2 linked regions of the Rhinolophus ferrumequinum genome follow. The protein of the gene in region 2 purifies or fractionates together with the protein of the main gene of each other region. This does not show direct contact. Links are inferred from orthologs where the notes say so. Each region holds a gene or a part of one and is shown on either strand. Other genes may lie near its edges.

Region 1 (15,455 bases), on a different chromosome or scaffold from region 2:
GATCCGAGGAATCTGCCAATGTGTGTGTTGTCAGATTGATAATACTCAATTTCAACGTTAGCACACCTCTTTTCTCCCAGCTAACAGATAGCAAAAGAAGCCTCAAAAAACAGTAAAGGAAGGGAGTCATGGGAAATAGCTACAAGCAGCTGAGAAAGGGAAAGTGTGTTACCTTCTGATAAAGATTAACTGGGACTTTAAATAAACATAATCAGTCAGTAGGGTCAATGGGAGGAGCTAGGGCTTATGGGACGAGTTCTCGCACTCTATCCTTTTCGCTAGGGAAACACCTAGTTGATATTGTTTTTCATTGGACACTTATGCACTCTCTGCAACTGTGGATCTAGTCAGTTAGATTCTTTCTTGAAAAAAAAATGGGCTCAAAGAGGCCCCAGTAACTTGCTTAGGGCTTCCTGAGTTCATTTTTCAAGCCATCATTTCCCTTTACTTAAAGCAGCATTTTAATATAATAAAGCACATTAATTCGTGCCTCAAAACCTTATTCTTTGAAGAATTTGTTTTTTTTTAAACCCTGGCCTCAGCCTCCACCTAAGGGTACATGTGACATTCCTAGGACCACGACTCCCTTGACAGGGCCGGCAGACTGCCTGGGTAGGCTGTTATCCTCAGGGGCAGGGGAAGCTTTTGCAAATACTTATCCCAAAACTCAGTGCCTGATACCACAGTGTGACTTTGGAAAGATGCAACCCAGAAAAGCAACAAATGCTAGAAAGAGGACGAGTATTTCTATTCCAAATCCTACTGCCAGCAAGCTTTCCATTCGAAGGCCAGACAGCTCTATAGAACCTCCTCCCACCAGGCTCTAGGACTGCAGTTATCCTCTGGCACTACCGTGAATACTGATGTCTCTGTCAGGATGAACCCCTCACTCAGGCTGCTTGCTGGCTGCTATGGACAGTTCAGTTTGTTGTAGATCGTGGAACACACTTCATATTTAATAAGTGAAAATCAACATGAATGCTATGTTCATATCGACATACATTCATCTGGTAATTTTTGGTTTATTAAGCGTTTTAGTCTCATTGTGATCCTCAGTTTAGGCACCTCGGGACACAAGGCAAAGCAGTATTTTTTAAGCATTTTTTTAGCAGAGGGGAAAGTGAGGCTCAGGAGGGAGGCCCCACAGTAAAGGTGGAGTCCCGTGTGGAACGCAGGTCTCCTGACTACAGGGCTCCCGCGCTCTGCCTTCCACCAACTTCATAGAGCTGGCGGCACATTTTGTAAGCCCCCGGGGGAAGAGCCCTCCCCGAATTTATTTCCCTTGAGCTCCTCCTCCCTCATTTTCAGGAAAGGTAGGATAGAGCACAGAGAGGAAATGGTCTCCAAACAAGACTCGCGGCAACAAACTACTTAACATTTCAAGATGATGCAAATGCTGAGCGGAAAGTGAACTTTCTCCTTCCTTTCAGCTCCTTCACAGAAAAGGATACTTACTGAAAGTGTGGGAGGGGCTGACACCCACTGTTAGTGCCAGGGACCTACTACCCTGGTTGCCTAAATGTTCAATCATGAAAGGATTTGGACTATGAAATATGACAAGTATGATACTGTCAACAGCTCTCTTGTGAAAAATACCAAACAATACTTCCTTAAAGCAAGCCCAGCATGACCCTCACGGAGCTAAATCTCTGACCCTGTGTGATTAAAACGGATTTTTAAAACTACTAACATATCTTGCCCCTTGTCCTTTTTTTCCTTTTGGTTCTGCCCTTTTTCTGGGTAGGAATGGATTTGATCTTTGTGTTAGTTTCATCTAACCAGAAATGTGAAAGCAATTCATCTCCGTAAGATGATAGAGACAATCAGCTTTGTAGAAAAGGGTGAGAAAATCTACCATTCCACAAAATTATTTAATCTTCACTCCTCTCAAGAAGCAGGCAGAAAAGTAAAAATCCTAACCACAAAGAATTGCTAACCAGATGCATATAGGCAATGACTGGATCTCTTAAAACAAAGCAGGCATGGGTGGGATTCTAGACACAGATCTAATTAGCAGGGCAACTGAGGTGTGGACTTCTAGCAAGTGATGGTAGACTGAACCCCAACTCTGCCACAAACTAGCTATGGAAACTTGGGCAAATTTCTTAACCATTAAGGCTCCATTTTCCTCTCCTGTAAAACAGGGAGAACAATGTGAACATTAAAAAAGATAATATAGGTCAATAATTAACAGAGGTCTCAGCCCAAAGTTAACACACAGAAAATTCTACTACGTGCCCTTGTCCAGGATCTGCATGACCTGGGCGAGAGACTGCACCTCTCCAACATTCCATATCCTTATCTGTAAAATGAGAGTATGGAACGAATGGCTCCCTGATCGTAAATGAGAGGAAAACAAGGTAAGGAAGTGGAGAGGAGGTCATGCAGTTACCATCATGCTTTGAAGCATGGCTCTCTCCGCAAACCCTCTCTACACTGCCAAAACACCGCCGGTCCATGCTTGGTCGGTGTCTTCACGCATCTTGCAGGCAGCGTAGCTAATAAAGCTTTAGTCTGGAATGAAAAGTCCATGGGTACGGTTTTGCCCATCAGACTGGAAATATCAAAGTGGGACTGACACTCAAGTAAAAGAATGCCGAAGAGATGAGGTTAAGTATTGTAGGTTGCAGATACCCTAAGAAACCAAGAGCAGCACTTCAAGTTAATACTACAACAGGTAGTTCGATTTTAAATTGCTCCTTTGTGTCGCCACTGTGGTCACAGTGTTTTTCTGGTACTGCTTCCCACACACAGGATGAGCCCCACAGGCTCCTAGCTTCTCTGGATCTGAGAAGTTCAAACACCATTTACTATATAAACACAGTTCGTGTTTAATACAAAAACATCAACATGAGTGGTTATGTTCATAATTGCATATGTTCATCTAGTACTTTTTGGTTTGCCCAGCATTTTAGCCGCATTTTGATCCTTAAGGATACATAAGACCACAGCTAAAGCCATTCATCTGAAGAGACAAGGAAAAAAGACTAAACATAGCATATTGTTAAACAGATTTCCATTAGCCACAGTTTCCATTCAGTTTCGGTGTTTATTTTTTTTTTTTCTTTTATCATGCTTTAAAATCTTTCTTCCATTTCATTTTCAGGACTTCACCCTATCTGCTACCTCTCAGGATAAAATGCAAACAAAACCAGAAAGTTTCACATCCACCCTACTTTCATGATTACAAGTCTTGTGCATTCTCTACTTCCACCTGCTTCCTCTCACACAATAAGTACACATGATGAAGCTCTGACACTGATCTTAAGGGGCTGGTTTCGCTCATTCATTCAACAAATATTTATAGAGTGTCTTCAAGATGTCAGACACAATTCTAGGCACATGGTTACATCAATGAACAAAACAACGTTCTATTGTAAATTCCACGCTGGTAAGTAGCAATAGTTATTATTATATATGTACATACTTATACAATGTATCACAGGTGATGTGCAATAAAGAAACAGTAGTGTAGAGAACGTCTATCAGGATTGCCGATGGGGTAGCAGGAGTGACGTTAAACGGGGTGATCAGGAAGGCCTCGCTGACAAGGTGAGACGTGAACCAAGACTGCAGACAATGAGGGTCTTAGCCAAGAGAATACACGGAGTAGAGCATTCCAGGCAGAGACAGAGGAAAGGCCCTGGGGCAAGAGTGTGTCTGGTATGTTCAAGGAAGGTCCCTGAAGGAGGCCAGTGTGGTTGGAAAGAGCCAGCGAGTGAGTGAGTGAGTGAGTGAGTGAGTGAGTGAGTGAGTGAGGCAGACAGATCACAAAGGGGATTGGTGTCCACCGTAGGACTTTTACCCAGTGTGAAATAAGGAGTCACTGAAGTTTTTGAGAAGAAGAGTAATGTGTTAAGTTTTACAAAGGATCTCATTATAGCTGCTGTACTGAGAACAGAATGTAGGGGGCAAGAGTGGAAGCAGGGAGACCAGTTAGGTGGGCCATGATGATAGCTGCTTAAGTCAGAAGAGCAGCAGGAAAAGTTTTAAGAAGCGGTCAGACTCTGGGTATATTTTGAAGACAGAGGCATGCTTTCCTAGTAGGTTGGATAGGGAATGAGGGAAATACTGGATTGTCAAGGATAACAGTTAATCTACAAAGGATAAAGTTGCTACCAATCATTCTGAGGCCTAACTCCCCAACTGACACTAGGGTACAAGATATTACAAATATCCTGATTTGTTTGGTCTCATCGAATTTTAAATTCTCTTTAGTCCATCTGCCTTCTTCTCCTCTCTCAGAAATAATCTACTCAGGGAAGTCCAGTCTGTTGCAGAGAGATGAAGTGCCTTCTCAGAGAAACTATGGCTATATGGACACGATTGCAATGAGAGACAGCCTCCCCCAGAAGGCAACCCAACACTAGTTAATGCTTAATGGCTAGTCAAGCAACAATGGGAAACTTCCATTGGTCATTTGCTAGCTGTATGACTTTGAACACGTCATTTCTCCTCTCTCTGTCTCATTTCTTTGTCTTAAAGTAAGAATAATATTACCCACAAGGTTCCTGTAAGTACTAAATTAATGAATAGATGTCAAGCACTTAGACCAGCATCTGACACAGAGTATGCAATATATAAGGGTTGCAATTATTAGTATTATTGTTGTTCGGTGTTTTTGTTATTTCACAATCTCGTAATAATTTTATGAGGAATATTGCCTGGGGAGCTGATGAGTCTAATATAAATTCCAAAAACATGAATAACCTAACACTAAGGGACACTGAGTACAAAGACAGGGCAAGTTGCGGGTAGGTCTCATGGAAGCCTAACTGCCCTCTCAGTCAGTGAAATCCGGGGACAAATATTACCCATTGTGTGTCTGGCCAGGAAAAATTTGGGTACATACCTCATTCTCTGTGGTTTAAAGAAAATAACCTAGTACAGAAGCCCACAAACTTTTCTGAACCTTTCCATTCTTAGTTGTCTGGAATGTCTTTCAGAAATTTGGTGCTTCAGCCTTCAGCTTTTGTTATATACCACACTAGAATCAAGAATTGAGATGTAGTTTTAAAATGTTTACTAATCATCTAACAATAATACAACTCCAAAGTTAAAATATAGATATACATCTACATCCTATTTAACTTACCTGTTCTCTTCTCCAGCCTCTGACACTGAATGAATTTCTATGGAAAATGCCCCTAAACAAGAGCAGCAATTCTCAATTCTGGTTGCATCCTAGAACTATCTGGAGAGCTTGAAACATACTAATGCCAAGGCCCAGTCCTAGATTTCTGGGCTAACTGAAACCAGTGTTAAGAACTGCTGGATAGGTAAATCCCAGAAGTGTTATTTATTCAACGTGGAAAACAGAAAGAACATTGTTTAAATATTTCTGAGTTTAAAGTAGCATCATCATCCAAACAGGGCTTCGGGGTGAGAGGATACTACAGCCTAGATTAGAAATCTCCTTAACCTGACCTAGTCTCTTACACTGTCCTGAACCTCCAACACAAGAGTTGGTGGTCTTCCAAATGTTTTCTCAAAAGTGAATGACGACCAAATTTAGATTTTTATCAAATGAAAGAGCACACTACACTATTCTATTTTTCTCTGACAAAATCCTCGTAAGCTTTACTGACAAATAGCTGATTACAATTACTTTGTTTTTTCCCTACTATGGTCAATAACAGTATGCAGCCTGGCTCTAAGAAATGTGAACCTTCCTTCTGTTTGTATTTTTTAATCCATTATTTAAAACATAAAGCCTCTATCCATTATTACTGCACAACATAAAGGAGAAATTATTGTCAAGTGTTTTTGCCTATCAACATTGTATAGGACTGGGTAATGGCTTTCTATAATTAACTCATTCACTGATTCATTCCTTTAAAATACAATGCTTATTAAGTCTTTATTATATTCTAGACACTTCTTTCAGATAGGTGTTTGGGACCATAGTAGTGATCAAGACATACCTGGTCTTAATATCCTTCTAGATGCCTTTAAATTAATAAATTTAAAAACAAAGTATGGCTGTAGTTCAAGACATCTAACGAGTGGGTTAATATAATGGAAGTTTAAAATAACAACACTAGAAATGTCACGTGGAACCCTAACTTACTAAGCACCTACTATAAACCAGATGTATTAGTCTGTTTATATGTGATACTCATTTAATAAAGTTGCTGTCCTAAAGAGATGACATTACTACTAAAGGGAGATTAAAGGTGGCCAACAATCGAGAAAACCCTTTCCTTCAGGAGAGTGTAAATTTGGCTTTCCACACTAAAGTTTCCATCCTAAAGTTGACAAGAATAAATTATGACAGAGTTGTCAATTCATTCATACAAGAAATTTTTTCACATTAGTTCAATCGGATCAACTGTGAGAAGATTTCTAGGTTACAAAAGAAAAATCAAGGTGTCATAAAAATGTACTTCAAATTTCTTAATTGAAAATTACAGAAACTGTATTAAGCATGATGCATAAGCTACCCATCTGTAGATATTAAGCCACGTAGTTTATCGATAATACAGTACTAATAAAGATATCAATAAAATAAACATTACTAGGTGTAGTGATCAGTCTTAACACTAGTCCAAAGAGAAAGTCACTAAGATCAATCAGAAATTCACGGGAGTGTAATTCAGCCCCAAGCAAAAACCGGGCAACTTAACCCAAAGCAGTTTCCAAACCATTCTAATGATACTCTTAAGAAATTTTTGTAAGCATTCAGGTGAACCTATTTGATTCCAATCCCTCAATCACCCCATCCACCCCCAAATCCTTTTTGTTTTGCTTTTGGTTTTAGTTTTTAAAGGAAATGCTGCTGTAGAACAGCCAAATGGGGTAAATTTGTAAGTTTCCGAGGAGCTGACAGCGGCCAACCCTGTTCTCCAACTCTAGGTAGAAACAGTGACTCCAAAATGAGAATTCACTCCAGTTATGCCAAAGATCGTCCATTCTTTCTTTCCCTTCCCCTTTTAAAGGGCGAACGGGCTCACCCTTGTCGCGCATAAGTTGGTTGGGACTAGACCGTGCCTGGAACCCCGGGCTTTTGGCCGCCTCCGCCCAGCGCTGCCCCTTCACGTCTGCTGACAAGGGCTGACAAGGGCCAGCTCCTGTCACCTGGCCACCTGCACCTCTTCGCCTGCGGTACCCGAGCCCCGGCCGGCAGAGTCCCCCCGACTCCCTCGTGGGACAGGCCAGGAGGCCCCGAGCTCTCGGGTCCCGGGTCCCAGAGCCGGGATCAGAGAACCAAGCAGTCTGGCTGGCATACGCGGGTGTGCAGTCCGGGCCCCGCGGACGCGGGCGGGGTGCGGGTCCCCCCCCGCCCCGGGCCCGCCGCTCACCGTCTATGTTCTCCCGGTCGCTGATGTGCTGCAGGTTGCAGCCCGTATCCTCGCGGCTCAGGTCCGTGTCAGGCCGGTAGGACTCCAGCCGGGAGTGGGCATTCCTCCGGAGCTTGGGGCTGGACGACACGCAGCACGAGGTAGTGTTCCCCATCTTCGGCGGCCCGACTCCAGCGGCGCTCGCCTGGCTCCCGGGGCCCGGCGCGGCGTGGAGCGGAGGCCCGCCCGCCGCCGGGGACAGACGGAAGCGTGGCCCGCCCGGTCAGCAGCGGCGGCGGCGGCGGGGCCTCGCCATGGGCTGCAGGCGGGGCGGCGACAAGCGGGCGGCGGGCGGATCCCTCGGCCTCCGCGCCGCCCTGTCCCGGCGGGCTTGTCCGCGGCGGAGGAGCGCCCGGTCCGCGCGACTGCAGCCGCCGCGCCTACCTCACCCCGCCGCGGCCATGGCGGGCGCCGCGCAGGCCGCCTCCCCGCGCTTCCCGATCGGCGCCCGGGTCCCGGCGGCGGCGACGGCCTCGGCAAGAGGTTCCGGTTCAAGCAGCTGAGACGCGTGTCCGCGTTAGCGATCGTGGGCTACGGGCAGCGGGCGTGGGCGGGCGCGGCCCTCGGCCCGGCGCGGGGAGGCGCGGTACGGCCCGGAGGTTGCTCGTCGCCCGCCCCGCCCTGTCGCCGCCCCGTCGCCGCCCCTTCCCGCTGCCCTGGAAGCAGATCGCGGCCGGGAGGGAGGTGTGGGCCCGCGCCGCGCGCGTGTGTGGGGTCGGTGCCGCGGGCGCGCCTCATGCGGGCTCCGGAGCCGCGACCAAGTCGTGGGCGCTCCACGTCCCGATGCCCTTCCTCTCCGGCCTCCGGCCTTGCCTCCCCGGGCCTGACGCTGGGACGAGTGTTGTGTGGCGGCCGGGTCCTCAGGGCCGCGAGACCGAGGAGGGTGGGGTGCGGCCTGGGAGTCCCCGAGGCTGAGCTGGCCACTCTTGGGCGACAGGAATTGGGGGGGGGGGGGCCTTTTTTCTTTTCTTTCTTCTTAAGCTTTTAAAAGGAAGCTGGACCTTTATTTGGGAGTTCTTCTATTTTGAGCTTTGCGGAGGACTTGATAGTGACCTTGTTTTAAGCCCAGAAATAAATCTTAGGGTGCCCTGGGCTGTTTTAATGTCGAATTAGCTGCAGTGTTTTGAGTTCCTTGGAGGTTAACGTGAGGTAGACAGGTAACTTACCATCAGCTATCCTTGTTTACTTGTAAAATGCTGTTGGGTTTTGTGCAGGGGAAACAATCTGAACTGAGGCCACTCAAATAAGATAAAGGTAAGTGACACTGCCTGGCTGTGGGAGATGGTGGGTTCCCATTCCTTTCCCAGGCCCCCAACACCAGCCTTCACTAGTCCGTTTACCTGTTACCTGTCTTGGGAAGTGTATAGGTGGCAGAAATAACCTTCCCACCCTTTTCCAAATAGTCAATGAAGGAGTCATGAGGAGAGACTGGGGAAAAAATGTTTTTGAACCCGAAAAAACTTGGTACAACCCTCTTAATTTTTAAAATATAAAGAAATTGAGGCCCAGAGAATTGAAGTGCCTGCCACAGATCTCAGTACTAGTTAGTGACAGACAGGAACTAACAGGGAAGAAAAGTATGGGAAGTAATATTTATCTGGTATCAGCAATGTGTACATCTTGCCAAAGGCTTTATAAACGTGATTTCGTTTAATTTTTGATATCCAGCCTTTTCTTATAACTTGTGCTGCTCCTCTGTCTCTTGGTAATGTTTATACATTTATTAGACCATATTTTTAAAAAGGTTCACGATGGTAACTAGATTAACGACAGTCGGGATAAGTGGCGATGTCCTTGAGAAAAAAATGGCAGCCAAGTGCTGATGCTGACAAGATGAGAAAGGAAATGCAAAAGGGAAGTTCTGAAGACTTACAGCTGGGAAGAGGTGGGGAGATAGCAACAAGAAAAATTAATACTTTTTATTAATGCAGTTCGGACCCTCTTGCCTCCCAGGAAAGTTTGGGACATAACTACAAGTCAGTGAATGTGTATATTCAGATTTTCAGGGCTACAATATGTGGGTAAATGGCTGAAACTTGGGAAAGGGGTTACTATACTGTCAGTTCTGATTGCTGCTTTGTAATCCAATACTGAATATGCCATATGTGTATGGCATATTCACTTAGGTACATTATAGGTTACATCATAAAATTTATAATATTAATTAATTAATGACATGCTTTGAAGGGCTCAAAATGGGAAAACAAATAGCACTGAAGAGACAGCGTGGCTCTCATTCTTCCTGTTCTAGAGCCATCACCGGGCAGCATTAACTGGGAATAGCATCTGGAGGCAGGGGAAGACATGACTGGAGCTCAAGGTAGCCACACACTCTTGCCAAAGGATGGGATAGTCACTGGCCTGTAGGGACTGTTCTGTGCACTCCCCGCCTTCCCCCATCACACCTACCTATTCTCTGACATTCCCACTGTATTTCCTTTAGGGCTTATTCAGAAGTATGACTTTTGGTCAACAGGCGTGGGGAGGAAAGATAAGTGCTAAATCTTGACCAGTGATTTACCTGAGTGCCAACCACCACCCCACGCCCCCACACCCCACCCCCACACACACGCACTTCCAACTCCTCCAGGCAAAGATGGTTCCTGCTTGACACAGTGACACTTTAGGAAAGGTTGCAGAAGCAATGTGATGCCAAGATGATAATGAAAGGTGTCATGTATTGAATACCCGCTAGAAGCCAAGCATTGTACTAAGTATTTTTTACATCTAAGCCTATGTTGTTATCCCCCATTTTACAAATAAAGACACTTTAATTCTGATAATTAAACCTGTCTAAGGTAAAACTACTGAGAAATGGCTTACCTGGGGTTTGCACCTTGGTTCTAATTAGAGTCCATAAGGTCCCATCTGGGTTGCATCCAGCTTAACCTCCTGCCCCCACCTCTAGCTACCACTACCAATGGAAGCAGGGAAGCAGATTGGAGTAATGAGAGAAGAAATCTGCAAAAGTTTTGAATGGAAAAGAGACTCTAGTGTTGCTTCTCTCCTCTTCTGTTCTCTTGCTGAGGGGAGCTGGGAGTGACTGCTAAGGACTAGTTCTAGACTTGAAGAAGACAAAAGAGAGGGGAGCCTTGTTATTTCTGGGGCCTAACCCTTCTGACCAGAGTAAGTAGACAGTCAGCAACTATAGGGCAAAGCGTTATGCAGGAATTTAGCCAACTCTGACTTAGGAATCTAAATGTGCGGACACTTCTTCAATAGGGTAGATCTAGCCCAGGATTGGCGCTGGAGCGGGACAGGGAAGGTGAGCGTTGCAACCCAAGGCCCCATCCTTAAGACAGTTTTTCAGCCTTCTTAGAAAACATCAACTTAGATCTGATCAGAACCCACCATGCTCTTTGAGCAGAAAGAAACATTTGGTAATTGTTTCCCTTCATCTTTCTCCATTATTAATGTTTAAGAATTTGGTCAGTATAAAGAGGTAAATGGGGGACTTGGGTGAGCTAGCTAAGGCAGTGCTCTTCACATTTTTTTAGCAGTAGTAGCTTTTTTCTCAACAAAATTTTCAGTGGAACCACAATATTTAAAACATAAATGGTAAGAGTATTAAATAATTATAATATTTATTAAAACAAATCAGAATAGGCTACCTTGTACAGTCTTACTTCAGCCACACCTATATCCATGAAATATGAATCTGTCATTTGCACAACTCTGAATCACCTAGAACACATAAAACACTGAGCCAAGTGAACCTAGGACCTGGATGGACCTTTGGTGAAAAGAAGGGAAATGGGTAGAATCTCAGGAAAAAAAACCCTGCTCAGAGTATATCTGTCCTTTCTTTGTCACCAGGTAGCCAGTTTCCTGTGTCAGTTACTCAAACATTTGTAAAGCAGTTCTGGAATAACCAAGACCCTTTGTTGTACCACCAGTGCTGCTCCTGTCACCCTCTTTTTTTCTAATGACTTCCCCTCCAGATAAGGCCTCCTGTTAGTAGTGCTCTGTGGTAAGCAGTCCACAATGTAACCAGTTATGGGGAAGTATTTACTTTGATAGTCACTTGATCTTGACCAATTATACGTGATTCATTTATTGATAAAAACATTTAAAAGTACACTGAGCCAGGTACCATGGGGATACAAAAATGGATAAGATATAATTCTTGGCCTAGAGAAATCATAGTCCAGTAAAACAGTCAAAAGAACATGTTTAGAACATGTCCAGTAATTTGAGTTGATTGCATTCACTTAGTGGTAAAATCTGAAAAATGACAAGGCTGCTACCTATAAATATATGCCTTTATCACCTGTGGATATATCTATGAGAGATTTATAGCTACAAATTAAAGAATTATACCCAGAGAATCTGTCAGATTGAAAATCCTCACAAGCAATTAAAGATGGCAGGTAGATTTAAACACCAACGACACATCCTTTGGACCAGTGTAACTGCCAGGAACACTGTTGAGAAGGATTCTGAGGTCATGTTCCAGTTTAATGGAAAAATACTGCCATGAGGAAAGGAGGATGAGACCCTAACACTTAGGGGTGGACAGGTGGCTCAGTCGGTTAGAGCGTGAGCTCTGGGCAACGGGGCTGCCGGTTTGATTCCCACATGGAGGGCCAACGAGCTGCGCCCTCCGCAACTAGAATGAAGTCAATGAGCTGCCACTCAGCTCCCCGGTGGCCAGATGGCTCAGTTGGTTGGAGCGCGGGCTCTCAACCACAAGGTTGCTGGTTGGACTCCTCAACTCCCGCAAGGGAAGGTGGGCTGCGCCCCCTGCAACTAGCGCAGCAGCTAACAATGGCAACTGGAACTGGAGCTGAGCTGCGCCCTCCACAACTAAGATTGAAAGGACAACAACTTGACTTGGAAAAGTCCTGGAAGTACACACTGTTCGCCAATTAAAAAAATGTCCTATTCCCCTTCCACCCCCCGCCAAAGAAAAGAAAGAACCTAACACTTATGCTACATATTTCCTGTCTATGAGTAAAACCTTAGTTTATAAGTAAATAATGAAGCAGGAGATAGCCATAGTCTCTGGGTATCTGGGCACAGACCCACTTGGAAACGGAATTATCTAACTCACCACTGAGAATTCACCAGGTATCGCCAGGCTAAAGCCTTAAGAAGTCCAATCCCTCTTTTGCCAAACTCTATCTTCTTTATCCCTCTTTGATCACCATGAACAGAAATAGTAAGTGTATGGGTAATCTCTGAGAACTGAGATGTACTTTTGATTAGGCAAATTCCAGCATTTCAGCAGGGTCAGGCATAGGTCAGACTGGAGAGGCTGCTGCTTTCCTCCCCAGTGTCTCCATCTCCCTTAATACAGGGTCTCCATTTTGTGAGGAACAGCAATATGCCTGCCTCAAAGACAACAGCTGGCCACATGGCTAAGTTGGGCCAATGAGATGTGAGTGGAATCTTCCAGGAAAGTTCTCTGGAGAAGCTTCCTCTTTTCTGCTTCCTGCAATGTGGACATGATGGCTGGAATTCGAGCATGCATTTTTGAATACCAGGTGACCTTGAAGATGGAAGCCATGAACTAAGACAATGTCCCTGTACTCTTCTTTTACATGAGAGAAACTACCGTGTTTCCCCGAAAATAAGACTGGGTCTTACATTAATTTGTGCTCCAAAAGACACATTAGGGCTTATGTTCAGGGGATGTCACCCTGAAAAAACATACTAGGGCTTATTTTCCGGTTAGGTCTTATTTTTGGGGAAACACGGTATGTTTTTATAAGTCACCGTTATTTTGAACTCCCAAGTTATATGCAGCCAAACCTAATCCTGATCTGGCCAGTATTTGATACTATTCTTTGATAGAGATTTACGTATTCATGTTGACAACTTTCACTAATTGACCCCCAGATAATAGGGACTCTGACCTAGAACTGTGGAGTGTCATATTCACTTGGCTCCTCATAGGACAATCCAGGTTGGAACAGAAAGATGCAGTAGGCAGGCTCTGGAGCCAAGGTAGAATTTTGGTGGCACAAGAAAGTTCTTCCAAAAGGCAGATTAGTCCCCATGGAAATTGAAAGAATTAAATGCCCGCTACACTATTTTAACATAGCACTACTCCTTCGGTATTCCCCAAACTGAAGCCAAAGGTTCCTGGGAGGAAACCATCAATCTACCCTGGTCTATATGCTCAAGATCCTGGAAATTGATTTTCCTGTTCAAATAAATTTTTCTTTTCATGACCTCACTGACTATTTGGAAAGGGGTGGGAAGGTTGTTTCTGCCGCCTTATCCTCTTCGCAGCACAGCAACAAGTCTTTCTAGTCCAGGATGACTGGCGTTCGTGGTGCTGGTAGGGGATTTATTGAATGTCTCCCATGATCCGTACTTTCACCTACCTTTACCTTAGTCAACTGGCTTCAGTTCAGACCCTGTTCCCAACATGACAAAACCCGACAGCGTTTTAAAAGTAAAACAAGGATACTTAAAGACTTGTGTTAACTTACTGTCTCTGCCTCGTGTTTTTAACCCCCAAGGAACTCAAAACACTCTGCAGCGATAATTCAACATTCAAATAGTCCTGGGGACCCCAAGAGCAGCTAGGTAGATCCCACTGCAGTGGGCAGGCCTGTCACTGTCAATAGTTTCTTACTGTTTTTAGAATGCCACTCTGCCTGGCCTTCAAGTCACCTCTGTCCAGCTGATCAGAACTGCTCACAACTCACTCTCATTTTACTCATGTGACCTTCCCCCCTAAAACACTCTTCCTCCTTCCCTGCCCTCAACACCAAGTTTTTAATCCTACTTACCCTTCAAGGCCCAGCACAAGCACTGGTTTTTCTCAATCCTTCATGCTGGCGATAATAAACTCACAGATGTTTTATCTAAAACCATTTATCTCTTCCTATTTTTGTTGTGTTCATTTATTTCATCGTTCCGATTACACTGTAAGCTCCTAAAGGGCACCCACGCCTCCCTCACTCCTCTCATGCTCGCCACAGGGCCTGACACCTGAGTAAGACGTGGGCCGGTACTTGAACATGCTCCTTTTTCTAGCCCCTCAGTTTTCTGGTATTTTTCCTTCCTTTATGTAGGGCAAGAGAAGGACAGGGAATGAACTGGGGAGTGGAGAGGGGTGAGGTGTTAGTGATGACTGTGGAAAGTTGAGTTTTCACTGATAATTCCCTTTTATTACGTGGAGAAACTTTTGAGAAAATATTTTCCTCATTCTTTGCGTTGTGAAGCATTTGATATTCATAGAGATCTGCTGGCAATAAATAGCATTTATTACCTTAATGCTTTCTCTAGACTTGAATTAACTAGGAAAACAGCCCTTTTGAAATGGAGTTGTGCTTCTTAGAGCCTAACTCTGACTGCATTAGAAAGAAAAACTGAAGGGAAGTGTAATTCTTTAAGGCATCTACTTCAGAGGCAGAAGTCACAATTCCACAGCTTAGGTTGCCGTGCTTTATGTCTTTTTTTTTCCCTTAACCTAAAAGCACCCAAATCCTCCAGAAGAAAAATGCTGTGTATGGGATTATGCATGTCTGTGCATGCGTGTGTATGCAACACATACATACTAATAACCCATATTCATTCAGCTGAAAGATTTTGCCAGTTTGTACAAATCGGTAGTTCTGAATCCCAGGGCAATTTGCTCATGTCAGGAGACATTTTTTTTTTATTGTCACTTCTGGAGAGGGGATGCTGCTGCATCTAATGCTTAGAAGCCAGAGATGCTAAACATTCTACCGTGCACAGGTCAGCCTCCACAACAGGAATCATACGCCCCAAAAGGCAATGGTACCAGGGCAATGGTACAGAGAAACCCTGTCTGCCAGCTATTCACTTCAAATATTGTCATTCATTCTATCAGAACATGCACATCATTATAACTTTTCATAGCATCTAAAGAAAATAACAGCAATTACGTTCTGTCAAGAATTCATTATTTAGCTTCCTGTTGGAAACTTTAAGAGAAAAAAGTAACACTTGTTTGCAAAAGAAAAAAAATTGTTTATTTCAAACCACTTCTTAAGATTAACTACCGACAGAAGGGATTTTCAAACAGTCATTCTGGTTCCACTTTTTCCAAATCACTCTGGAAATATATATATAAGTGAGCCCAGAAATCAGCCCAATTGCAGATAAGCAGGCCTATAACAGATTAAAATGTTACCT
Region 2 (14,834 bases):
TGGAAGCCCTCAGAAAAGATGGGAAGTTGAATTTTGCCCTAGGAAATTATTAACTATACAATAATAGCAACCGACATTTATTAGGTGCTTACTATGCTAAGTTCTTCTACTTGCTTCGTTTATTAATTTATTCAAATATTTATTGAGCACCTGCTATGCCAGGTACTCTTATAGGTGCTACAGTTATATTAATGAGATAGATTAAATAATACAATAAGTGATTTTGGAACCCTGAAAAAAGAATAGGATACGGGGGGCTTGAGAGTACCAGGTGGCAAAGGGTGGGTTTGGGATTTTAAATATGGGATGGTCAGAGCGGCTTGTGATCTCACTTAACATGTCTCTGCATGAGTGGGGGTGGGAGAGTGATGGGGCTGGACGCTCTGGTGGCTCCCACCCCACTGACCAGCTCCTTGTCCCGCAGTACTATAACCAAGAGTGGACGTTGTGGGATCGCTTTGAGGTACAGGGGCTGCAACCTAACGGTGAGGAGATGACCCTCAAGCAGTTCCTTGATTACTTTAAGGTGAGGCCCCTTCCTCGCTCTCACCCCACCTGGGGGGGGGTGTGCAGGTGACTGGCCTGTCCACCCCCGTGACATTGCCATCCCCTCTCCCTCCTCCAGACAGAGCATAAATTAGAGATCACCATGCTGTCCCAGGGCGTGTCCATGCTCTACTCCTTCTTCATGCCAGCCGCCAAGCTCAAGGAACGATTGGATCAGCCGTGAGTTGGGTGGCGGGGAGCCTCGGCTTGCAGCTGGCCCAGTCCTCTTCCCTGCCCTTCGCCTCCTCGGCCCCCACCCACCTGCCCTTCCACTGGGCTTTCTGCCTTCCTGACCCTCTGCTCCCCTGCCCCCAGGATGACTGAGATCGTAAGCCGTGTGTCGAAGCGAAAGCTGGGCCGCCATGTGCGGGCGCTGGTGCTTGAGCTGTGCTGCAACGACGAGAGCGGCGAGGATGTTGAGGTCCCCTACGTACGATACACCATCCGCTGATCGCCATCCCTTCCCGTAGACTGGTCCCAGCCCCCGTCTTGAGACCCCCCTCCAGCCCAGGGCTCCCATTTGACCTCTGGCCGTAGCCCAGCAAGCCAAGCCTGGTGTTCCCTCCTCTTCCCCCTACTTGAACCCCTCTTGCCATTGCTTCCTATCTTGTTCGGAACCTAAATCCTAATAAAGAATTATTAACCCAGACGTGACATGCCCTGCTGGTTCCAGGGAAGGAAGGGGCTTCCTGGTTCAGATGGTAACCCAGAGGGCTTGGCCCCACCCCAGCTGCCAGTTTCCTGGGCAGAGAAAATGTGGGAATTGCCACCTTCTTCCTCCTGCCCTCCCTGCTTAGGAAGAAGTAGAGGCACCAGTGAGGCCATAGAGAGCAGCTACCTGGGTCCAATTTATTTGAGCTGAGTTACAGTTCCTCTTTTTTCACCTCCTTATTCCCTGCCATATTGATGTTGGGTCAACATGGCTTATATCCTTGGGGCAGATACCTTTCAGCCTGGCTCAAGGCACTCAGACCCTGGACATGCCATTACCATCATGATTCCCAATGCCAAAAATGCCTGTGATGCCCTTAGTTCAACTTCCCTGCTGCAGGGAGGCCTAAAGAGCTCTGCTGGACTGAGGAATGCCAGTGCCTGTGCATACTTCACAGTTTTTATGAAAATATTTAGCTGAGAACACCTGTAGAGGAAAAGCCCCTTTCCCGGCCCAACTTACCCCATGGCCTGGTCTGCCTGTCCTGAGGGACGCCAGAGAGGCAGCTCTGGGGGCTGTGGGTTGTGATTGGTTAGAGCAGGTAGTGGGAGCCTCACCTCAGACCCCAACAAGACTATGTTCCATCTTTAGTCTTGGCTGAGCACTCCAAACAGTTGAAAGCACCAGTCTGGCCACCTGGTGCCTGAGGATGCCACTTATACCTCTGTCACCCAGCCACTTAGACTCATCCCTTCACTCAAACCTGGGTCCTGGGAATAGCACAACCTATCCCTGAACCTGACCTGACACCCATCACAGCCTGTCCCCACATCCACTGCCTGCTGGGCCAGCTTCAGACCGCAGACACCATGTATGCCCTGGTCTACCTCCCTCATGACCTCATCCTTTCACACTTCTTTTTTATTTCCCACCAGGACACTGGACTGAGGTGCTTTATTTCTGGCATCTAGTTAGTGGTGATGCTAGCTGTCTAGGTTAAGTGCAGATTTTCCATTATTGCTGCTCTAGAGTACTCCAAACATTCCACACCTGTCTCCACTGTTTCCACCGTTGCAGCATCTGAGGCTTGCGCACACACTTACTTCCTCTGCCCCCTTTCTCCACTATTCCAGCTCCTTGCGTACTCTGTAGACACTTTGTTCACTGGATCTTACCCATTGACAGCTCCTGATTCCCCAGATACTTAGTTCCTTTCTTCACCACCACAGCTCCTGGATCCCCTTGCTACTTGATTCACACCTGACACCCTTCATCAAGAACCCATAATTCCTGCTTGCATTTTATTTCCCCAATATATGCCATTGTACTTCTCTGTCATGTTTGTCTACCCTTATAACACCATAACACCAGCAAGATAGGAGACCAGGGCTCTGGGCATGGGTTGGGTGGCTGCATTGAGCCCCCTGCACCTAGCAGGCACCAAGGACAGGATGGGACAAGGTGGTTTCCTCATGTCTCTGCCTAGGGCTATTTGCCATTCAGGCATTCAACAAACATTCGTTGAGTACGTGCTGTGTGCCAGGCACATCCTAGGCATTGGAAACCACAATGGATCAAAAAGGTCCCTGTCCTGGGTGGGGGTGGAGGGTTATGTTCTAGTGTAAGACCCAGAATAGACAACAAACAGCAAAGTGTATGTTGGAAGTTGATAGGTGCTATTCAAAGGTCTGTAGAGCTAAGTCGAGATCTGGAATGATGGGGCAGGTAGGCATTTTTCAAATGACAGTAAGAGAAATCGTGAAGAAGGTAGCATTGAAGCAAGAAAACATTGAAGTTTAGAAGGTAACATTGAAGCAAGAAAACATTGAAGTTTAGAAGGTAACATTGAAGCAAGAAAACTGAAGTGTAGAAGGTAACGTTGAAGCAAGAAAACATTGAAGTTTAGAAGGTAACATTGAAGCAAGAAAACTGAAGTGAAGAAGGTAACATTGAAGCAAGAAAACATTGAAGTTTAGAAGGTAACAATGAAGCAAGAAAACTGAAGTGAAGAAGGTAACATTGAAGCAAGAAAACATTGAAGTGAAGAAGGTAACATTGAAGCAAGAACGTGGAAGAAGTGGGTGAGGCCTGCGGGTATCTGGGGAAAGATCATTCCAGGCAAAGGGAACAGGAAGTGCAAATTCCCTGAGGTTGGATTGTACTTGCTTTGTTAGGGAACAGCTAGGAGACTAGTATGGCTGGAGCGGATTGAGAGGAAGGGTAGGAGATGAGCGATCAGACGAGTGATAGACATGATTGTCCAGACCGCGGTGGACTTCTTTGTCAAATACAGTATTTTCACTCCCATCGTGGGTAAATCGCCACTAGTATAAACCTTACTGAAAAACTAACTGGTGTGACGAAGGCTGCCATAAAGGGAAGCACGGAAGAGACGGGGGAGCTGGCTTTGGACTGGGGTGCAGTGTAAAGATGTCCCGGAAGGGCTGCTGAAGGCTGCGGCCATTTGAGCTGTGCTTGATGATACCGTAGTGTAGTTTTCTTGGCAGAGGGGCGAGGGATTAGGTCTGCGTGGCAGTGTTGACACACAACAGGCCCCCAATAAAACAAAACAAAACTGCAGAGCCAGGGGAGCCACGGAGGGCTGTGGCAGGCAGAAAAAGGTAGTTGAGAAGTGGCAGGAAAACCCAATTCAGGGTGCTTACCCAAAGCTCAAGTGAAGCGGAAAAGAGGCCGCGTCTCCTGCCCCAAAGTTCCAAGCATGCGCAGTAATGCCTCTAAAGGTCCGCCTTTCTTCTCAGTCTAGGCTCCACCCCGTGAGCATCCTAGGGAGTGGGCGGGGTTAAAGGCGGGACCAAAGTAGATTGAACGCTCTTTTGACCAATTACCTAGCGGGATATTCGGCCTCCGGTGACAGGAGCTCAGAACGAAAAGGAGGGCCCGCCCCCTGACGGTGAAAACCAATGAAAATCAGGCAGAGGCGTGGTATGGCGGTGAAATCACGCCTCTTCGGTCCAGCCACGCCCTTCATTCTTGCACTGCCTCACCCCAGGGAGCAAATCCGATTGGCTGGGTGACAACCTCAAAGGGCGGGGCCGGTTCACAGTGGGAATGAGCTAGCGGTGTGGGAGTGGGGGGGTGGGGGGAGAGCAGCAGGGCGGGGCTAGACTCTGCCCTACCTAAGGTGATAAAGGCCAATGATTCTCCCGGCCGCCTCTCCTAGAAAAGTCATCTCGCGAATCTTTAAAATTCCTGCCTACCGAAGCACCTCAAGGAACTAGGACTGACTGCCTCATCTTTTTCTTCCTTGCAAAAGTCCCGTTTGCCACCATGGGGGATGTACCAAGTGAGATCGAGTAGGGGGAGCGAGTGGTGACCGGTACGCTGGTTATTGGCTGCTGCCCACTTCGGCGCTAGCAAACTTCCAGCAAGATCGGAACTGAGTACTAAACAATATCTACACTTCCCTCTGGCGCCGTTCCAGGGCGGGCGCCACATTCCCTGGTGGGCGCGCAATGGCCGCGCCCCCTCCCGCTGCGGACGGGTCTTTTGGTACGTGCAGTCCGAGGTGAGTCCCCTCCCTCCACTTCACCCTGTCCAGCGCGTGCGTGCGCATGCGCGGAGCGCGGCGCGCGCGGCGGTTGGGTCGTTGGCAGTTCGGCCCTGGGATCCGCCGCGTCTCCACGGGCAGTCGGCTCTGAGTCGCGCGCTGCTGTGAGCTCTCGGATTCGAGCCGGCGCCGACGGGCCCGGGGGCGTCGCCCGCAGCGGCCAAGCTCATGGCCGACTGAGCGGGACGCCGCCTCCGCCTCAGCCACCGCCGCCGCCGCCGCCTCCTCCTCCTCAGCCGGCGGCGGCCCGGGCCCAGCAGCCATGGCCGAAGACTACTGGGACGGGCGCCTGCGGCGAACTGGAGGAGGAGAAGGAGGTCGCGCGGCCTCAACCCGGGCCGCCGCCCCAGGCGCCTCCGCGCCGTCCCCGCGGCGTTGAGGTTGTTCGCGCGCCCCCGCCGGTGAGTGCGTCCCCGAGACGTGGGGTGGAAGCTGCCCTTCCTCCTACAGAACCAACCCAGGCCCCGGGCGGTGCCCAGGGGTCTGGACTACACCGCTGGCATGGGCCCCCTCCCTCCAGCGAATTGCCCAGAATGCACCGGGGCCGGGGGGTCATTCAGGGCCTCCCTGACCTTGGCCCCGCCCTGGGCCGGGTCTGGGAGCTGGGGGTGGGAAGTACTGTGGGTGCTAATGGGGAGCGGGGTGATCCAAGGACCAGAGGGTGTGGAAATGGGTGGCAGGGTGGTGAAAGAGTCGAGATTTGCTAATGGGGGCCTGAGCTGTGGAGGGGTCGGAGCATGTGGTATAAGTCTTAACCGCTGTGTAAGGTTTGGGGCCCAGTATGTGCTAATGGGGGGCGAAGGCGGTGGAGGGACCCAAGCGTGTATAATAGGGGACAGGATGTAAGAGAAGTGTTGGGATATACAAATGGGGTTCTATTTGTAGAAGGGCCCTCTGTTAACGGGGGAGAAGGTGGTAGAGGTACCAGATGTGCATATAGGATCAGGGCTCTGAGGCCCTGTGTGTGGTGATGAGGGTCGGGATGGTGCTAATCCTGTGTATTTGTCCATGAGGGACCGCACTGTGTGAGGGTCTAGAGTGTGCTCAGGGAGGGCCGGGTAGCAGAAGAACTCGAGTGTTGAGAGTGTGCTAATGGGAGTCCTAGCTGTGGAGAGTGTGTGCATGTGGTAATAAAAGTCTGGGGAGTATGAGCCCCAATCTGTGCTAATAGGGGCAGAGTGGTGGGAGACCTGAGCCTGTGCTAATGGTTAGAGTTGTGGATATATGGGGGGGGAGGGGGCAGTGGTGACGAAGGTATCTTAGCACTGTAAGAAGTTCAGTGTATTCAGGATCAAGATGGTGTGAGATCAGTGTGTGTCCATGAGGACGGGATGCGAGATTCTAGGACGCGGTAAGGAGAGGCAGGATAATATATGAAGTTCGAGTAACTGCTAATGTGGGTTTAGAGCCATGGAGGTGCTCAAATGTGTGTCAGTGGGGGGAGAGTCAGATCAGTATGAGGTCTGGAATATATGCTAATGAGACTCAGAACATTGTGAAGACACTGTGTGCTTGTGTCCACGGGGGCGGGGGGGGGGGTTGGGATGTGTCGAGGTTACAGGGCGTGCTGATGGGCGATAGAACTGTGGAGGGTTTCTGTGTGCAATAAGAAGGCTCAGGGCTGTGAAGGGATCCAAGTGTGAACCAATAGGGGTCATAGCTGTGGACAAGTTGAAGCAAAGAGAAATAAGGAATAGGAATATGTGAAGGTCTAGGTGTGCTAAAGTGGATTAGCGCCCTGGATGGCTGAAGTGTGTGCTACTGGGATTCAGGCTCAATGGAGACCTGTGTGCACTAATGAGGGCCAGGCCGTCGTAGAACAGTGTGTTTGAGTGTCCCTGGGGATAGGGCTGAGTAAGGGCTCAGGGTGTGCTACTGGGGAGGCACTGTGAGGCCCAGTGGGTGCCAATAGGGTCAGGGTGAAGTGAAGGTTCAGCTTGTGCTGATGGAGGTGGCAGGGGCAGAGCAGCGGGAGGGCCAGCATGTGGGTTAATGGTGGTCATCGCGGTGGAGGGGTCTGCGCGTGGGCAAAAACAGTCCGGTCAGGGATCTACACGGTTCACTTTGTGTTAATGGGATTTAGGGCACGGGGAAAGTTCACTGAATGCTAATGTGGGTCAGCTGTAGAGGGTCCCAAGTGAGTGTTAATGGGGAGTGAGTGCTGTGGAGAAGCTAACAGGCAGCTGGGCCTGAGGGGGGCCCAAGAATGTGGTGGTGGTAAGAGTTAACTTAGAAGGTTCTGGTGCTGTGTTGGGACTTTGTGTGCTGATGGGAGTTAGAGATAAAGGGAAATTGCAAGTGCTGATAGCAGTTAAAATACAGAGAGGCCTTCTTGAGGGTCCAGTGTGTACTGAAGGAAGAGGACACTGAGGGACCGGTGTGTGCGTGTGGGGCCCAGACAGGCTGTGGATACCGTGTTCCTGTGGCAGTGAGTAGAGTGCCGTGACTGTCCTCACTGGTCAGTGTGGTGTGAGGTGGTGGGTGTCCTTCGGTATGCAAGTATTCAAGTTTTACTACGTATTAATGTTCAAGTGTGTCTGTTCACAGGGGCCCACCCAGGGCCCTCCTGCTGGGAGTGCTGCACGATACAAAGATTTTGTACCCCATCTTTCTAACATCCCCCCAAAAACTGTCCAGCCCTTGGAGTTTCCAGTTAGAGGTCATGGACCCATGGCTCCTTCTGGCTCCCTCATCATCATCCATCAAGCCCTACTTACAGTCTTCCCCCACACACCCCGAAGTCCCGCATTCCCTCCCTCAACAGACAGACTGGGTATCATACCGTACGGACATAAGAGAGTCTTTGGGGGCTGGTTATGCTTCACCCTCCTCAGCGTCAGGTCCAGTGTTCAGCCTCCTGGGTCAGGATTTTGTTGTTGTTTTCCTGAGTTCTCTGAATGGACCTCATCGTCTTTACTGAGGTTTTTCTACTAGACTGGCCCCTCTACCCCTCCTGAGGATGGTGAAGTCAGGCAGGCAGAAGCAGGGTGTGGGGACTGCTGGGTAAGCAGCTGATTTCAAGGTAACAGATGACCCACTTCTCTCCTCGAATCCAGCCCCAGCCACATCCTCGACCTCCTATCTAGCTTCACTTCCCTTGGGCCCAGGGCCATCTTAGGCCCTGCTGTGAGTCCAGATGGTTCCTGGGCCAGGTCTTACCCCCTCCTTGCTGGCCCAGAGCCCAGGAGGAAGCAGAAGACGGCCGGCCTAAGCCTTTGGTGGCCCCATTCCCTCCAGCAGCCCCATCTAGGTAGGTCATCTTCCTGCCGATGCCAGCGTCCCTGGGCCACCTTGTCAGGTTGTTCATGAGTAGCAGGGACTCACTCACCCTGGTGGAGGTTGGCCCTAGGCCCTCAGCCCCCTGATTCATTAATTTCTGCCATGAGCACTTTTTGAGCATCTACCCTGTGTCAGTCACTGTTCCAGGTCCTCAGGATATAACCGTGACCTAGACAGACAGAAATCTACCCTGGCGGAGCTGATCTTCTAGTTATGGCGGTGAGGAGACAGTAAAGAATAAAGAATCCAATAAGTAGATGGTGTCATTTCTGAGGAAGTGATGAGTTCTGGGGGATAATTGGCAAGGTAAGGGAGCTCAGGATGGTTGACATTTTAAATAAGGTTATTTGTGGAGGGTTATCTATGGAAAAAAGGTAATATTTGAGCAATGGCCTGAAGCGGGTGAGGGAGTGAGCTGTTTTTGAAACCTGAGGGAAGGGTGTTCCAGGTACTGGGAACAGCCAGTGCAAAGGCCCTGAGGTGGGACTGCTGGGTGTGATTGCAGACCGGCAACTAATACCACATTGATTAAGGGGGAGGTGAGGCCAGAGAGGTAATAGGGGTGAATGGAGTAAGAACGTGTGGGCCACATTGAGGACTGGGAAGTTTATTTGGGGTGGTAAGGGAGATGTGCATTCTCAAGTAGAAGAGAAATGTGACTTGCCTTGTAAAAAATATGGGTAGGCCCTATAGGTCTCAGCCTGACTGTACCTTTCCAGGAGTCCTGAGGACAGCTGGTGTGCACTGAGACCCACCCCACCCAGTCTGGGCAGGACCACCCCCCCGCACCCCTCACCTGGATAGACCAGTGGAACAGTCCACTGGTCACTGTGACAGTGGTTGCTAGGGGAGGTGGGAGGTCCTAGTGGCCACAGAGAGCAGTCTGCCTTGGCAGTTGGGGACAATGTGGGGCTGGTGCCAGCGGAACATGCCACCCTATGGGCATGCCCAGGGCCATGTCAGTGGTCCCGAGGTCCTGGGCGAGCCCCCCGCTCCACCCATGGCCAGGTCTATCACTGCCGCTGCACCTGAGAATACCTGCTGTGGAGCCCTCTGTTCCCACAGTGAGACTGCCCCCATAGAGACCAGCATGCCATCGGTTGGTCCCTTACCTTCAGCCAGCCACCCAAGCCTCAGTACCCAGGTAGGCTCCTTAGGATCAGGATCCCCAGGAGCTGGCCATAGGTGGGCAGGCACTGACAAGGGTCCCCATTCGTGCCAGGTATCCAGGAATCCTGAGTGGTTCCAGGGCTCCACAATGGTTGGGTGGACACCGACACAAGTTCGGTTCAGTGTGTTTCACTAGATTGTCATGGGTTTTAGGGGGCCCATGGTAGTCAGGCAGAGGCTAACATGGGACCTGTTCCCATCCGTACCCCCTGCTCAGGTCGCCATGGATCGGATGAAGAAGATCAAACGGCAGCTGTCAATGACACTCCGAGGGGGCCGAGGTGTAGACAAGACCAATGGTGCCCCTGAACAGATAGGCCTGGATGAGAGTGGTGGCGGCGGCGGCAGTGACCTTGGAGAGGCCCCCACCCGTGCCGCCCCTGGGGAACCTCGCTCTGGACGGGGACCACTCACCTCTGCACCAGGTAGGTCTACTGACCACTCTCATCCCTAGACTGGTCCCCAGGTGCTGCCTCCCTGTGGAGTTCCTCTTAGACTTGTGTTCTTTTCATTTTCTTTTATCCATTTTCTCTGTCTTCCCTGCCATCCTCTCAGTACCCTCTCTATCCATCTGTGCCCCTTTCGTTGGCTTTGTGCCCAGGCCTCAGGGTAAGGAAGGGTACCCTGCCTGCCAAAGCTGCCCCAAGCCTCCCTTTGCCCTTCTCCTGCACTCTGTAGTGGCCTCCTCAGGCCTCCTGGTGCCTGCCTGCCCTGGGCCTGCCTTCCAAGGGCCTTTGGCTACCTCTTCCTCTGCCTGCCCCCTGGCCTCAGGCCAGCCGGTGTCTCAGCTCACCCCTGGTACCAGGTGCTTCGCTAGGTGACTGTCCCCCCCTACCCCATTCAACCTATCCTGACCTGTCTGAACCTCCCTGGGCCTTGCCACCCTCTCCCTGAGCGCCGTATGCACACCTCTATGATGAGGGAATATATTCCATGGGGGAAGGGGTGTCTTGGGGCTCCTGACTCCACCTGGCCTGCCCTCCCCCTGTCCGCACCACCAGAGATTGTACACGAGGACTTGAAGATGGGGTCTGACGGGGAAAGTGACCAAGCTTCAGCCACGTCCTCGGATGAGGTGCAGTCGCCAGTGAGGGTGCGCATGCGCAACCATCCCCCGCGCAAGATCTCCACTGAGGTGCTGAACCCCCTGTCCGGGTGCTGATGGGACTGACAAATAGGGTTGGACCTGGGGAGGTGGAGCTCATGGTCCTCTTTCTCCTCTGTCTTAACCTGCTAGGACATCAACAAGCGCCTGTCACTACCAGCTGATATCCGGCTGCCCGAGGGCTACCTTGAGAAGCTGACCCTCAATAGCCCCATCTTCGACAAGCCCCTCAGTCGTCGCCTCCGCCGTGTCAGCCTGGTGAGCATCTTCTTTCCTCTCCTCTGTTCCCCTTCCTCCTCCTCTTCACCCTCCTCTCCTCCTAAGTCCCCTCCCCTGAGCCTGCTTCAACCTGCCTCTTTTATCCCACAGTCCGAGATTGGCTTTGGGAAACTGGAGACCTACATCAAGCTGGACAAGCTGGGCGAGGTGAGGGACAGCCAGGAGGCCCATGATGGAGATGGCTTCAGTGGGAACTCGCTGCAGCCTCGAGCTGCTTTTCTGTCTCTCCTCCTCACTCCCCAGGGTACCTATGCCACCGTCTACAAAGGCAAAAGCAAGCTCACAGACAACCTTGTGGCACTCAAGGAGATCAGACTGGAACACGAAGAGGGCGCACCCTGCACCGCCATCCGGGAAGGTACAGACATCCGGGAAGATGCGCTCCAGGCTTCCCGGGCTCTCCTCCTGGTGCACGCGCACACACACACCCACACACCCATAGTGAGATCAGACCCTGGGGGTTCTGGGACTTCCTCCTGACACTCGGGGCTTCCTGAGAAAGTACCCATTACCCGTACATCTAGGTAATAATCAACGTAACCAGGAATCTGTTCCTGTTTGGGCGAAAGAGGCAGATGAATTGGAAAGCAAGATGCTTGCTGTGGTGCTGAGAGCTTCCCTGAAAGTGCTCGACAGTTTACTTGGTGCAACAGTTCGAGTCAGAACATCACATGCATTGAATTCTAATTACATAGAAACTGAGTATGCAAACTCAGTTTCACGTGAAGCTGCAGGCCTTTGTACTGAGGATTGGAGCAAGGCCCCATGCCAGAAACCAAAAACTGGTTGTGAAAATGTAGTGTCACATAAACCTGGGGCTGCAATCCCAGGGTCTTTCGTGCTTTTAATTTCCACATCTGGAACGTGAGAACACACCTGCCTGGCATTGGGTGGGTTAGAGCCACCACCCCAAACTGCACAGGGAAAGGAGGAAACCCTGGGCCTGTCACTGTCTAGTCCTAGTCTCTGTCCTGAGGGTGGGTCCCTGACTCTTCCTCCTCCCACCCCCATGCTTCCTGCAGTATCCCTGCTCAAGGACCTCAAACATGCCAACATCGTCACGCTGCATGACATTATCCACACGGAGAAGTCCCTCACCCTTGTCTTTGAGTACCTGGTAAGGTTGGGTGGCAGTGGGTCCCAGGGGGAGGTGGGGAGATGGCCGGGAGCCAAAGAATGTGACCCTCTTTCCACTACCTGCTTTTCTTTCCTCAGGACAAAGACCTGAAACAGTACCTGGATGACTGTGGGAACATTATCAATATGCACAACGTGAAAGTAGGTGTGGGGCAGGAAGCAGGGGCACAGAGGGGCCCTACTCACCCACTCCACCCACAAATCTCCCAGAAATGACTTTTCCCATTTGGCTTTTCTGCTGGGAACCCTTGGAGGGCATTGGGACCCCGTCTTCTTTTGTGAGACAAGGCCGTGGGCTCAGTGCCTGTGTTTGGGAGGGGAAGCAGTGCCTGCTGGGAGTCAGGCTGCTGGATACTCGTTGACCTCTGCCTGTTGTTCCTGGGTCCCCAGCTGTTCCTGTTCCAGCTGCTCCGTGGCCTGGCCTACTGCCACCGGCAGAAGGTGCTACACCGAGACCTCAAGCCCCAGAACTTGCTCATCAACGAGAGAGGAGAGCTCAAGCTGGCCGACTTCGGTACCCCTGACCTCTTCCTTCTTCCCAATGATCCCCAGCCTTAGTCTCCTAACTTCTCCCTTCCCCATAGATAGACCACCTAGTCTCAGGTCCCTTCAGCCTTGCCAGGCTTTACTTAGGACACCCTCAATTTTAACTGCCCAGGACTTTAATTCCAGCTGTCCCTTCTCTCCACCTACCAGGCCTGGCCCGGGCCAAGTCAATTCCAACAAAAACCTACTCCAATGAGGTGGTGACACTGTGGTACCGGCCCCCCGACATCCTGCTCGGGTCCACGGACTACTCCACCCAGATTGACATGTGGTGAGTACAGGTGGAAGTGTGGCAGGGGCTGTGGTGAAGAAAGTAGCTTGGTCACAGTGGCCAATCAGCCAGCTGCCTCCCTATTCATTCACTGTGCCCTCCCTGCCCAGGGGTGTGGGCTGCATCTTCTATGAGATGGCCACGGGCCGGCCCCTCTTCCCCGGCTCCACGGTGGAGGAACAGCTGCATTTCATCTTCCGCATCTTAGGTGAGGAGGCACGAGCCCCAGGAGCTGTGGGCACATGCAGGGAGGCCCTGTGAGATGCTTAGGGTAGTGCCTCTTCCCGACAGGAACCCCAACTGAGGAGACATGGCCGGGCATCCTGTCCAACGAAGAGTTCAAGACATACAACTACCCTAAGTACCGCCCTGAGGCCCTTTTGAGCCACGCCCCCCGGTGAGGCTGGTGGGTGGCTGGATGGGTGTCAGAGGCCAGAGTGCCAAAGCTCAACTTAAAGCAGGTCCTCTTGTCTTTGCGGTAGACTTGACAGCGATGGGGCCGACCTACTTACCAAGCTGCTGCAGGTGAGACCACCTTCCTGGGCCAGCCTTGGGGGCAGGGGGAATTTCAGGTGTGGGGAAATGGGGAGCTCCAGGGGTAGGGAGGAAGAGAGAGGCCTGCTCTGTAAAAGTGCCAGTCCTACCTGCCCTCCTCCACTCAGTTTGAAGGTCGAAATCGGATCTCCGCGGAGGACGCCATGAAACACCCATTCTTCCTCAGTCTGGGGGAGCGGATCCACAAACTTCCTGACAGTGAGTGGTGCTGGGGAATGCACTAGCTGGTGGGCAGTGGGGAGCAGGACTGCTGCGAACAGCTGGGCAGGTTGGCTAGAGCTCTGGCTCAGCCACCTCTGAGGGGGTGCACCCTTGTTCCCATATGTGATGTGTTTATTACAAAAAAGTTACTTAAGTTTTCAGTTCCTTTTACCTCTCATGGAAATTGTCAAGTGTACATACAAATAGATAGAATATTACTTTATCTTTTTTAAAAGTAAACATTTCCTTGTAAATTATATACTGAGAAATGCACAGATCATAAGTATACTGCACAATGAGTGTTCACAGACTAAACACAGACATGACATGTGTTTACAGGTCAAGAAACTGGATGTAAGAGGTTCCCCTGAAGTGCCCTCTCGATTCTTTAGCTATTCCCCCCCACCGCCGCCCCAAGGGTTAACACTAGTTTGACTTCTAGTGGTGTGAATTTTTCCCTTGTACTTTGCAGAAATGGAATCAATCAGAGGGGGTGTTTTCTTTTTGCATCTAACTTTAAAACGTTAACATGGATATTTAAAAATTAAGTACATTTATATATTAGACCAAATAATAATAGGAGTCCCCAAGAACTACAACAGGTTATCAACTCATGGCCAATCTGGTCTTATCTATTAGGTTGATGCAAAAGTAATTGTGGTTTTTGCAATTATTTTTAACCTTTTAAACCACAATTACTTTTGCACCAACCTAATATATTCCCTCTGATTATTTTGAGTCAAATCCCAGACACATCATTCATTTATAAATTTCAGCATGTATACATAAAATATTTTTTTAAACATAACAACATCATTATGGCACCTAAAAAAAAAATTGGCCCACTTACCTCTCCACTGGACTAATATAAATCAAATCCCAAATACCATCCATCACCTAGACTTAACAGGTGGTAATTGCAATACCATTATTACACTTGATAAAATTAATAATGGTTTCTTGGTGTCATGTATTAGTCCATATTCCATTTTTCTTAGTTGTACCTGGTTTGTAGGATTATTTGACAGGTGAAAGTCAAGTCTCTCAAAGAAAAGGCAGTTTTTTCCCCCCAGTAGAGCCATATGGGAGGTGGTCCTGGATGGCCTTGTAGCTCATTCCCTACTTCTGTCTCTCCTCCACCCACAGCTACTTCCATATTTGCACTAAAGGAGATCCAGCTACAAAAGGAGGCCAGCCTTCGCTCTTCGTCGATGCCTGACTCAGGTAGGTGTGGCTCTTACCCTCTTCCCTGCCCCATCCACCTACCTGCTTGTCCACCAACAGCCATCCGCTCTGCTTTTGCCCACAGGCAGGCCAGCTTTCCGTGTGGTGGACACCGAGTTCTAAGCCGAGTTCTAAGCCACAGACCCAGGCCCCAGCAGGCAGCAGCTGGAGGGATGCCATACCCCTCACAGGGCAGCCCCCAACTGCATCCTCCCTGCTTGCCACCTGCCTGACTCATGCTCACCTGCCCACATGTCCCCTGCTGCCTGTCCAAACACCCGATCATTGGCCTGTCAACCCA

Evidence for each region.
Region 1: the proteins of CDK16 (region 2) and CCNY purify together in Homo sapiens (affinity purification with mass spectrometry; 3 studies listed by BioGRID and IntAct, counting the BioPlex papers as one, with this or other methods). This does not show direct contact. The link is inferred for Rhinolophus ferrumequinum from reciprocal best matches to the Homo sapiens genes CDK16 and CCNY.

The regions. Positions count from the first base shown.
Region 1 is NC_046288.1:5,982,941-5,998,395, reverse strand, and holds the start of CCNY (cyclin-Y), read right to left. Parts: upstream 7,587-15,455; 5' UTR 7,456-7,586; coding exon 7,302-7,455; intron 1-7,301. UniProt on the Homo sapiens protein: Positive regulatory subunit of the cyclin-dependent kinases CDK14/PFTK1 and CDK16.
Region 2 is NC_046284.1:86,676,074-86,690,907, reverse strand, and holds the start of CDK16 (cyclin-dependent kinase 16), read left to right. Parts: upstream 1-8,958; 5' UTR 8,959-8,973; coding exon 8,974-9,189; intron 9,190-9,432; coding exon 9,433-9,640; intron 9,641-10,216; coding exon 10,217-10,350; intron 10,351-10,452; coding exon 10,453-10,578; intron 10,579-10,689; coding exon 10,690-10,746; intron 10,747-10,842; coding exon 10,843-10,957; intron 10,958-11,621; coding exon 11,622-11,716; intron 11,717-11,814; coding exon 11,815-11,877; intron 11,878-12,126; coding exon 12,127-12,250; intron 12,251-12,432; coding exon 12,433-12,553; intron 12,554-12,663; coding exon 12,664-12,761; intron 12,762-12,844; coding exon 12,845-12,950; intron 12,951-13,014; coding exon 13,015-13,078; intron 13,079-13,215; coding exon 13,216-13,306; intron 13,307-14,455; coding exon 14,456-14,533; intron 14,534-14,618; coding exon of another isoform or gene 14,619-14,656; exon of another isoform or gene 14,657-14,834. Other genes in the region: UBA1 (ubiquitin-like modifier-activating enzyme 1), read left to right, coding at 425-526, 626-726, 862-997. UniProt on the Homo sapiens protein: Protein kinase that plays a role in vesicle-mediated transport processes and exocytosis. Regulates GH1 release by brain neurons. Phosphorylates NSF, and thereby regulates NSF oligomerization. Required for normal spermatogenesis.